Linked DNA regions of Anolis sagrei. The protein of the gene in region 1 interacts with the protein of each later gene in a biochemical or structural test. Links are inferred from orthologs where the notes say so. Each region holds a gene or a part of one and is shown in the gene's direction. Other genes may lie near its edges.

The links.
Region 2: of the proteins of PRKACA (region 1) and RRAD, one has a biochemical effect on the other in vitro, tested with the Homo sapiens proteins (2 studies listed by BioGRID). The link is inferred for Anolis sagrei from reciprocal best matches to the Homo sapiens genes PRKACA and RRAD.
Region 3: the proteins of PRKACA (region 1) and BAD form a complex in vitro, tested with the Homo sapiens proteins (2 studies listed by BioGRID, with this or other methods). The link is inferred for Anolis sagrei from reciprocal best matches to the Homo sapiens genes PRKACA and BAD.

Annotation. Positions count from the first base shown.
Region 1 is NC_090022.1:112,796,803-112,800,558, reverse strand, and holds the start of PRKACA (cAMP-dependent protein kinase catalytic subunit alpha), read left to right. Parts: upstream 1-773; 5' UTR 774-1,283; coding exon 1,284-1,473; intron 1,474-3,756.
Region 2 is NC_090028.1:20,918,040-20,921,795, reverse strand, and holds the start of RRAD (GTP-binding protein RAD), read left to right. Parts: upstream 1-857; 5' UTR 858-894; intron 895-979; 5' UTR 980-980; coding exon 981-1,326; intron 1,327-3,105; coding exon 3,106-3,179; intron 3,180-3,756. UniProt on the Homo sapiens protein: May regulate basal voltage-dependent L-type Ca(2+) currents and be required for beta-adrenergic augmentation of Ca(2+) influx in cardiomyocytes, thereby regulating increases in heart rate and contractile force.
Region 3 is NC_090032.1:16,530,965-16,534,720, reverse strand, and holds the start of BAD (bcl2-associated agonist of cell death), read left to right. Parts: upstream 1-1,457; 5' UTR 1,458-1,570; intron 1,571-3,756. UniProt on the Homo sapiens protein: Promotes cell death. Successfully competes for the binding to Bcl-X(L), Bcl-2 and Bcl-W, thereby affecting the level of heterodimerization of these proteins with BAX. Can reverse the death repressor activity of Bcl-X(L), but not that of Bcl-2.

The DNA of each region.
Region 1 (3,756 bases):
TCTTGCATCACTTTGGGGGCTAAAGCAATAACCGTACTGCCGTGTTTGGATTCCTGTCCTAAATATACATTTCTTTGGCAAATAATCCATATGAGAAAAAGATATCTGGCTTGTACTTTCTCCTTCTCTTTTCCACCAACTCATTTCTTATTTATTAGAAGAGGTTTCATTTACCAGTGGCTTCTTAACTTTTGGATGGAGGCAAAGCAAAGGTTAAGTCACTAGAAGTGAGCCGTTATTTTCATTCCTGATCTTTGTGGGAAGATTATGGACTGTGCAGCTATGCACACTTTTTGTGCACATTTGGAAATGTTTTATAAATAGATTCTACAGATCATTATAACAATGAATGATATTTTGCAAAAGAGTGTTTTGCAGCCTTAACATTTAGGGAGAGGAAGTGCCCATCACCAGAAAACATAGCATCTGAACAAGCTCTTCTTTTGCCTCTGTCTTACAGACTGTATCTGTCTTGCCACACTATAGGCCAAGCTTTTTGAGTTGGGGTGTGGTCATTTCATTGTGTTAGCTGACTAGCTCTGTCTTCTGAAATTCTTCTCCCTCTTTTGCATTGGAGGATCACCCTGTGTTGTGGGGGTTTCCTACCTGGTGAGAGCCTTATTTGCCCTACCTTCAGGCCTGAGGGTGAAAGGGATTCAGAGAATCTCTGAGCTATTTTAAGCCTTATTGCGTGGCCCTCACTACAGTTGATCTGGCAAGCCTGCCTGCCTCCCTCCCTCCCTCCTTCTGTATTAATCAAATCTGCCCGCTGTTCACCCTCTGACCAGCTGTTTAAGTGACCAGGCTGCCCGTGTTTGTTGCTGAATACACAGAGACTATGGACTGGGCAATGATGGACCTTTCCTGGACATCGTGGGAGTTGGGGAATCCTGGTATGCACATGGATGGCTGCCCTGGAGAGCTGCGTACCAGTTGCTGAACTGTCATGAGTGTTTTGGTCCAGCGAAGTCATTTTGATGAAAATTCTCTCCCGGTTAGAAGTCGCAAACAGTTTGTTTGAGCCAAGTGCTTGTCTCAATCAGTTGGACAGGAATGTAAAGAGCTCTGCTGAGTCTGGGCTGTGTCTGCTCTCCTGTTGCTGCTTTCAGCCTTCTCTTCCTGCAGCAGGACAGAAAGAGGGTTGTGTCTGTCCCAATCTTCTTGCAAATGGCAACGACTGGGGCAAGTGCTCTCCTAGACCCTGACGGAGTGGCCTCACTCTGTTTGATGTGAGAGCAGAGCTGGAGCAGGCAAAGAAACTGGTGATTAAAATAAAGGGAAACATGAACCATGGAGCTGAGGTGAACTCTCGAAACTCCAGCAAGAACAAAGGGTGTAAGATGTCGGCGCTACAGAAACTGGAGAATCTGGCTGGCCGGATCTTTTACTGGGGCCCACGGAGTGATGCAGGGCTGCCTGAATGTGGAAACACAGCCTCTGAATCAGAGCACACGGCTGCTTGGAATGAGCAGAGTGAGTTGACAATAAAGCATGGCTTCAAGGGGTCTAGGGATGGGTGTAAGGTTCCCTGAATCTCTCCTCCCAAAATTAATCTGTACAGAACAAAAGCAATTGCTACTGTTCTCCTTATGCATGTCTTGGCAGCTGAATGTGGATCAGGTCAGTGAAGTAAGCTGCTGTTTGTTGCCAAAGAAAATATCAGATGTGATATGCTATTCTGATAGACATTTTGGTTGTGGCTACTGTCCATTCAGTTATTCATGCTAGGCTATGTTTTGAAGTGCAGGTTGCTTCCTTTTAGGGACACCAGAGCTGGGGAAAAACTGCTTTTTTGTTTACAACTCGCAGAATCCCCCAGCCATAGAAAATTATCATTTCTCAATGACAGAAGGGCTCCCTAGTGTGTGGCTATGATTTTAACCTCCCAGTGTTTATCAAGCATGACCATTGATCCAACTCTGCTTCACTGCTGGCCACTAAATGATTTAAACACTGACTTTAGTGGCTCTTCATTGCATACTCTATGTCTTAATTTGTCTATTTCAAGTATGACAGTCTGTATAAAAAAGGGATTACTTACTGAAATGACATAGGAGACTAGCTTAAACTGTAGGAAATGTACTAGTAATTCAGCAGCCATTTTGATGTGAGTAAAGCCATGGGGTAGAGTTGGGTGGGGGTGGCAGAGAGAAGGTGAATAATGGCAGGAGTGCCATCTATCCTGGAAACCATTTCCCTGCCTCACCCGTTTCCCTTTCCAGGCAGAAAGTTTTGGGAAGGAGCAAGAGATGACACAGGGAAATAATGTCTAGAGAAAATGCCTCTTCCCTGCACTTATCTGTTCTTTCCTACCCCTACCCAAAATTTATTATGGTAGAAGTGGGAAAACTTGGCCTTCCAGGTGTTTTGGGACAGCAACTTCCATCAGTCCTAGCAAGTTTAGTTTCTGTGCATTTGGCTGTGATGTGCATTTTGGGCTACACTGGTAATATAGAAAAATATACAACTTGGACTGCAGAGAATAAGGATAGTGAAGCATACCGAGATGTCCTGCCATATTTGGGGGAGAATGTCAGTTTTTTTATTCCAGCTGGCAGATAAGGTAGTATTTAAAAAATCCAATGTCTTCCTATACTCTTTTATTTTTGTGACCATTTTGCAGCCTTACCTGTGGATGTTTCTCACTTGGTAAGGGAGACCTTTATTTTTCTTCATATTAAATGCCTAATCAGACTTGGGAATTCCCGTCTCCAGCTGATAGAGCTTTGTAATGACACACATAGACTGGCCATTATTGTTTTAGCACTTTCCACTACTAGCTGAGACTATGGTTTTGATTCTTGACTTGGTGAACGGTTGTATTTTGATTCCCAGAGCACTCTATTTCAGGTTTTGGGTCAGAAATAGAAAGTAGACCTTTGCATTGTCTGCACTATACATTACTACCTCACAGCAGCAGAAGAGACTAAATGCAATCTGATTTTGGATCCTCAAGTATGTTTAAACAAAGCTGTGACAGTAAGTTTTGGCACTGCTGCATGGCCTAAAATAGAAGCTTGTACAACATCTGATGCCAGATTCCTCTTTGGCCTTGTTATGCTTTTGGCGTTGGCATCTCTTCTCAGTGCTGTGTCCGGTCTGTTGCACAAGAAGAGAAATGCTCAGAACCTCTGACAATCTTCTTCTTCAGAAAGTTAAATCTAATTATGGGAGCTAGGCACAATATTATAATACAATAACTTTATTTTTGTACACTGCCTCCATCTCCCCGAAGGGACTTGGGGCGGCTTACACGGGGATGAGCCCGATCAACATGGTGAAGATACAGCACATTAAAATATCTCAACAACAACATAATATAAAACAAAACAAAACAGAAAAACAACATTATAACAAAATATAAAAACAAAACATTAAACCAGTAATGAATGAGATCTGCGATAATAATCAGTTTCTGGGCATGAGTGGAGGGACTGGTGCACAAACAATTGTGAGGATAGGGCTGATGGATAAAGTGCATAGGTCATATGGCAGCAATAGAGATAGGGGTTAGTATACGATAGAGCATTATAACTTTGGGTATAGAACAATAGTAAAGTGCGAGGACAAGATTGTGGGTCCTAGCTGAGGCCAAGCTATCAGGGAGATTGTCTAGTCAAAAGCACAGTGCAACATCCACAGCTTTAGATCTTACCAGCATTTTCTACCTAGCTCTTTGTCAAAGGACTTGATGATAAAAACAATTGCGCTTCCACATGTATCACTGTAAAAACATTTGAACCTTCCAGTTTTCAT
Region 2 (3,756 bases), on another chromosome or scaffold:
CGTTTATTCATATCATGATTTGATCACCAAGCTCAATGGGGGTATTGGGGTAATGATACAAAAGGTTTGCTAGGGTTGACCCTCTTTCACTTGGACTCAGCCCCCCCCCCCCCCCCCCGAATCGAAATCCTGGCTACGGGCCTGCTCAGGCACTGCCAGGCCACCAAATGCTAATCAAGGTGGTCAGTTGAAACATTCATACCTAGCTCCAACAGACAAAGAGTTCTTTGCCCCACCTTGGTCATTCCATATAAACCCAATTTTCCTAGTTCCAACAGACCTCACTACCTCTGAGGATGGTTGCCATAGATGCAGGTGAAACGTCAGGAGAAAATGCCTCTAGAACATGGCCATATACAACAGCAAACAATCAGGCACATCTAATCACCTCTCAACAGAAGATTGCCTCAGGCACTGCCAGGCCATCAAATGCTAATCAAGGTGGTCAGTTGAAACAGTCACACCTAGCTCCAACAGACAAGAGTCCTTTGTCCCACTCTGGTCATTCCACAGATATATAAACCCATTTTCCTACTTCCAAATAGACCTCACAACCTCTGAGGATGCTTGCCATAGATGCAGGCGAAACGTCAGGAGAGAATGCCTCTAGAATATGACCATATATCCCGAGGAAACCTACAACAACCGAATCCATTCTTCTTTTCCCCTCAGGAAGGGGCTTCTATGACGCACCAGGAGGAGGAGGAGGATGACAAACGAGGGGAGCGCTCTATTCTAATTCGCAACCTGATTGGAGGACGGGTTGAACCGACGTCACGAAGGCGGAGCATCCGAAAGAGTATAAATAGACGCGCGAAGTTCTGTCATGAGGTGAGTGGAGTGAAAGAAGAAGGGGAAGAAGCAACAGAAGTGTTTGTGTCAGGAGTTTCTGAGGTAAGTGGCGGATACTGGAAGGAAAGGACGCCTCGAAGGAATGGCAATTGGGCCCCGCTGGAACTTAACTCTTTCTTTCCCTCAGGATGACGCTCAACCGCAGCGCCCGCCTGAACGTTCCCGACCGGAGGCGCGGGAGCACGCCCTTCGCGGCCCAGCAGCAGCTCCAGCACCAGGAGGCTCTGCACCGGCGCAGCATGCCGGTCGACGAGAGGGAGCTCGCGGCTCAGGAAGAGGAACCGGAAGTGGAGGTGGAACTGCCGCGCCGGGCCTCGGGCTCTTCGGACTCGCTGGCTTCCACTTCCTCTTCCGGCAGCGACGCGGAAGGGAGACTCCACAAAGTCCTGCTGCTCGGGGCGCGAGGCGTCGGGAAGAGCAGCCTGGCGCGCGTCTTCGGAGGCCTGGAGGAGGGGCCTGAGGCGGAAGAGGCCGGTGAGTGGCAGGGGAAGGGAAAGGGGCCAGCACTAGTGGTTCTCAACTTGGGGTCCCCAGATGTTTTTGGCCTACAACTCCCAGAAATCCCAACAGCCTCAGGCCCCTTCCTTTTCCCCGTCAGCCGCTTAAGCGGCTGAGGGGGAAAAGGAAGGGGCCTGAGGCTGTTGGGATTTCTGGGAGTTGTAGGCCAAAAACATCTGGGGACCCCAGGTTGAGAACCACTGAGGCTGAGGAAGTGGTATTTATTTATCGTGTCAGGACCGTGCTCTGACCTACAAGAAGCACTGCCTGAACATCCAGCAAAAAGTAGGTGCTAGAAACAATACCATACGAAAGCTGACTGGCACAACCTGGGGATTACAACCAGACACAGTGAAGACATCTGTCCTTGTGCTATGCTACTCTGCTGCTGAGTATGCATGCCCAGTGTGGAACATATCTCACCATGCTAAAACAGTGGATGTGGCTCTTAATGAAACATGCCGCATTATCACGGGGTGTCTGCGCCCTACACCACTGAAGAAATTACACTGCTTAGCCGGTATTGCACCACCTGATATCCGCTGGAAAGTAGAGACATCCACCAAGGCAGAGACATCTCCAGTTCATCCCCTGTTTGGGTATCAGCCAGCACGTCAACGACTTAAATCTAGACATAGTTTTCTAAGATCGACAAAGACACTCGCTGGAACACCTCAGCAAACGAGAGTCCAAAAGTGGCAAGCTCAAACCCAAAACCCAGAAATTAGTTACTTAGTATATTATTGTGTTGTTTTTAAATGGTTTGTATGATGCTAGCATTTAATTTTTGCTCCTGCTGTTGTTAACCGCGGTGAGTCGCCTACGGGCTGAGAAACTGCGGTATACAAATAAAGTAAATGAATAAATAAACCTCAACCAATGGCTGATACCAAATGAGAGGCTCCCCCCTGGGCACAGAGGACTGGGCGACTTGGAAGGCGCTGAACAGACTGCGCTCTGGCACCACAAGATGCAGAGCCAACCTTCAGAAATGGGGCTACAAAGTGGAATCCTCAACATGCGAGTGTAGAGAAGAGCAAACCACTGACCACCTGCTGCAATGCAACCTGAGCCCTGCCACATGCGCAATGGAGGACCCTCTTGCGGCAACACCAGTGGCACTCCAAGTGGCCAGATACTGGTCAAAGGGCATTTAATCAACTAGCAAGCTTGCAAACTTTGTGTTTTGTTTGTTTCTTTAAAAAATGCAATGCAACTGTTTGGTCTGCTCCTGACACGATAAATAAATAAATGGCCAGGTTGTCCTACCCTCCGCCTTTAGAGACGTCTGCTTTGATGCACGTTTCAGGGATTTAGTGAACTAGGTATCTTTTCTGCGCCCCGGTGGTGCAGAGGGTTAAACTACTGCACTGCTGAACTTACTAACCGAAAGTTTTGGTGGTCTGAATCTGGGTAGTGGGGTGAGCTCCCGCTATTAGCCTCAGCTTTTGCCAACCTAGCAATTCGAAAACATGCAAATGTGAGTAGATCAATAGGTACCACTTCAACGGGAAGGTAACGGTGCTCCATGCAGTCATGCTTGCCACATGACCTTGGAGGTGTCTACAATGCCGGCTCTTCAGTTTAGAAATGGAGATGAACACCACCTCCCAGAGTCGGACACAACGAGACTTAATGTCAAGGGGAAACCTTTACCTTTTAACTTATTTTTTCTAAAGATGAGATCCTTGTACATTATAGAAAACGTCACAGGGAAAGCTCATATTTCTTGTTCTCATGTCTCTCTCTTTATAGGCAATACATATGACAGATCCATTATAGTTGATGGTGAAGAAGCTTCTCTGGTGGTGTTTGACATATGGGAGCAGGTAAATTGTATATTTCTTACATGTTCTATGTATCATACTCTGTCCTATATAGTCCATAGAGTGCTCATTTATGGGTAAACCTGGGCTCTCCAGGGGTTTTGGACTTCAACTCCCACAAGTCCTCACAGCCTCAGGCCCTTCCTTTCCCCCCTCAGCCGCTAAAGCAGTGGTTCTCAACCTGGGGTCCCCAGATGTTTTTGGCCTACAACTCCCAGAAATCCCAGCTAGTTTACCAGCTGCTAGGAGTTCTGGGAGTTGTAAGCCAAAAACAACTGGGGACCTCAGGTTGAGAACCACTGCGCTAAAGGAAAGAGAAAAGGAAAGGGCCTGAAGCTGTTAAGAATTGTGAGAGTTGAATTCCAAAGCACCTGGAGGGCTGAAGTTTGCCCATGCCTGATCTGTCACCATATATAGGCTATAACAGTTGCCTTAAAGAGCTTGGTAAACTTACTTTTGTGGTCATGTTGGAGATACTTTTACAGTTGCTGTCCCAGAAATGAGATATTTATTTACGATATTTCTACCCCACCTTTCTTACCCCAGAGGGGACTCAAGGCAGCTTTATATGCCTTAAAAC
Region 3 (3,756 bases), on another chromosome or scaffold:
CTATATAAGGCAGCTTGGAAGACATTGAACGCCACTATAGGGGTCCCCATATATATAATATGTGGCCAGTATCCATTATATTACATTATATTATAGGGTGGGCCCATATAATGCAATCTGAAATACATTAAGCTCCATTATATGGATCTCTCTCTTATGTGTAGTCAGTGCCATATATATATATATAAACACACATACATATACATATAGGGTCATGGTAGACCCATATAATGCAATCTGGACTGCATTGGCCTCCATTACATGAGTCTCCATATATATTATATATGACCAGTACCATCTATATATATATATATATATATATATATATATATATATATATATATATATGGATGGTACTGGCCATATATAATATATACCATGACCCATATATATATATATTATATATATATATTATAGGACTAGGGTAAATGCATATAATGCAATCTGGAATACACTGAGTTCCATTATATGGATCTACAGATATATTATATATATAATATATATGTAGATCCATATAATGGAACTCAGTGCGTCTACCCTAGCCCTATAATATATATATATATATGACATTGACATATATCATGTATAATATATATGTAGATCCATATAATGGAGCTCAGTGCGTCCACCCTAGCCCTATAATATATATATATATATATATATATATATATGATATTGACCATATATCCTATATAATATATATGTAGATCCATATAATGGAGCTCAGTGCATTCCAGACTACATTATATGCATCTACCCTGGCCCTATAATATATATATGGCACTGACCATATATAATATATATGTAGATCCATATAATGGAGCTCAGTGGCCATATATATACATATGCATATACATATACTTATACATATACATATACATATACACATATACATATACATATATATATATATATAATAGGGCCACTCATATAATGCAGTCTGGAGTATCTACATATATAATATATATATATATATATATATATATATATGTAGATACTCCATTCCAACCCTATATATATATATATATATATATATATATATATGGGGTTGGAATGGAGTATCTACACACACACACATATATTATAGGGCCACTCATATAGTGCAGTCTGGAGTATCTACATATATATGTGGCCAGTGCCTTATAATACATTATGTTGCATTACATTGTATTACATAGGGTCAGTGTACGCCCATCTACTGCAGTTTGAACAGCATTGATTCTACAGTGCAAACCTATCCCTAGATCTGGATGGCTTGCTGCACAGGTTTAGGTCACGTGCTCCCAGATTGTGTTCCCGGGCAGAGCGCTCCGGGAACAGCCAATGGCAAGCCACCCCGGCGCGGAAGGTAGCCAATAGGAAACGCCGGGGGCGGGGCTTCGGGAATAAAAAATTACAAAGGTGGGCGGGGCCTGCCTTGCAGCGGGAGTCCCCGCCCCTTAGCCGTGACGTCGAGAGATGTGATTGGACGCAGGGAGTGGCAGTCCTCCATCGCCCGGGCGACAGTGGCAGGGAAGAGCCAGGCTGTAAACACGAGCCGTGTCGAGAGAGTGAGGCAGCTTTGCTTGAGGTAAGGAGGATCGGGGCCTGGGAGGGAGGCAGGATTATCATTAGATCTTGGCTCTAATCATAATAATATGCTGGAATAGATGGATTTGGAGCCTGGAAGGGAGGAAGGAGCAGGACATCAACAATGGCTGCACCAGGAAATGCCTCTGATCAGTCAGAAAGGAAGCCCAGGCTGGGATGGCATGGGAAGCACACTCTCCCATCACTGTGAGGGAGGTTTTGAAGCAGAGTCTGACTGGCTATCTGTTGGGAGGGCTTTGATGGTGTCTTCCTATGGCAGAATGGGGTTGGACTGGATGGCCCACTACCCAGCTCTATATATGCTGATGAGCTAGGCCTAACAACACAAGCAGAAGACTTTGAAACAATTAGGGACAGGTAATCATCTCCCAACAAAGGATTCCCCCAGGCTGTAAGAAGCCACACCTTGAAACTGCTAGGCCATTAAATGCTAATCAAGGTGGCCAACTGAAACATTCACGCCTACCTCCAACAGACAAGAGTTCTTTCTCCCACCCTGGACATTATAAACCCCACTTTCCCAGTTTCCAAGTGCCAGCTAACACCTCCCAACAAAGGATTCCCCCAGGCAAGCTTTCAGTGCTAATCAAGGTGTCCAATTGAAATATTCACACCAACCTCCAACAGACAAGAGTTCTTTCTCCCACCCTGGACATTATCAACCCCACTTGCCTAACACCTCCCAACAAAGGATTCCCCCAGGCAAGCTTTCAATGCTAATCAAGGTAGCCAATTGAAACACTCACACTAACCTCCAACAGACAAGAGTTCTTTCTCCCAACCTGGACATTACTCCACAGGTATATAAACCCCACTTGCTTAGTTTCCATGTGCCAGCTTACACCTCCCAACAAAGGATTCCCCCAGGCAGGCTTTGAAGCTGCAAGGCCATTCAATGCTAATCAAGCTGGCCAATTGAAACATTCACACCTACCTCCAATAGACAAGAGTTCTTTCTCCCACCCAGGATATTATTCCACAGGAATATAAACCCCACGTGCCTAGTTTCCAAGTGCCAGCTAACACCTCCCAAAAAAGGATTCCCCCAGGCAAGCTTTCAGTGCTAATCAAGGTGGCCAATTGAAATATTCACACCTATCTCCCAACAGACAAGAGTTCTTTCTCCCACCCTGGACATTATAAACCCCACTTGTCTAGTTTCCAAGTGCCAGATAACACCTCCCAACAAAGGATTCCCCCAGGCAGGCTTTGAAGCTGCAAGGCCATTCAATGCTAATCAAGGTGGCCAATTGAAACATTCACATCAACCTCCAACAGACGAGTTCTTTCTCCCACCCTGGACATTATAAACCCCACTTTCCCAGTTTCCAAGTGCCATTTAACACCTCCCAACAAAGGATTCCCCCAGGCAGGCTTTGAAGCTGCAAGGCCATTGAGTGCTAATCAAGGTGGCCAACTGAAACATTCACGCCTACCTCCAACAGACAAGAGTTCTTTCTCCCACCCTGGACATTATAAACCCCACGCTCCTAACACCTCCCAACAAAGGATTCCCCCAGGCAGGCTTTGAAGCTGCAAGGCCATTCAATGCTAATCAAGGTGGCTAATTGAAACACTCACACCAACCTCCAACAGACAAGAGTTCTTTCGCCCACCCTGGACATTATAAACCCCACTTGCCTAACACCTCCCAACAAATGATTCCCCCAGGCGGCCTTTGAAGCTGCAAGGCCATTCAGTGCTAATCAAGGTGGCCTAACTCCAACAGACAAGAGTTCTTTCTCCCAACCTGGACATTATAAACCCTATTTGCCTAGTTTCCAAATGCCAGCTAACACCTCCCAACAAAGGATTCCCCCAGGCAGTAAGAAGCCACACCTTGAAACTGCTAGGCCATTCAATGCTGATCAAGGTGGCCAACTGAAACATTCACGCCTACCTCCAACAGACAAGAGTTCTTTCTCCAACCCTGGACATTATAAACCCCACTTGCCTAACACCTCCCAACAAAGGATTCCCCCAGGCAGGCTTTGAAGCTGCAAGGCCATTCAATGCTAATCAAGGTGTCCAATTGAAACATTCACACCAACCTCCAACAGACCAGAGTTCTTTCTCCCACCCTGGATCTTATAAACCCCACTTGCCTAACACCTCCCAACAAAGGATTCCCCCAGGCAGGCTTTGAAGCTGCAAGGCCATTCAGTG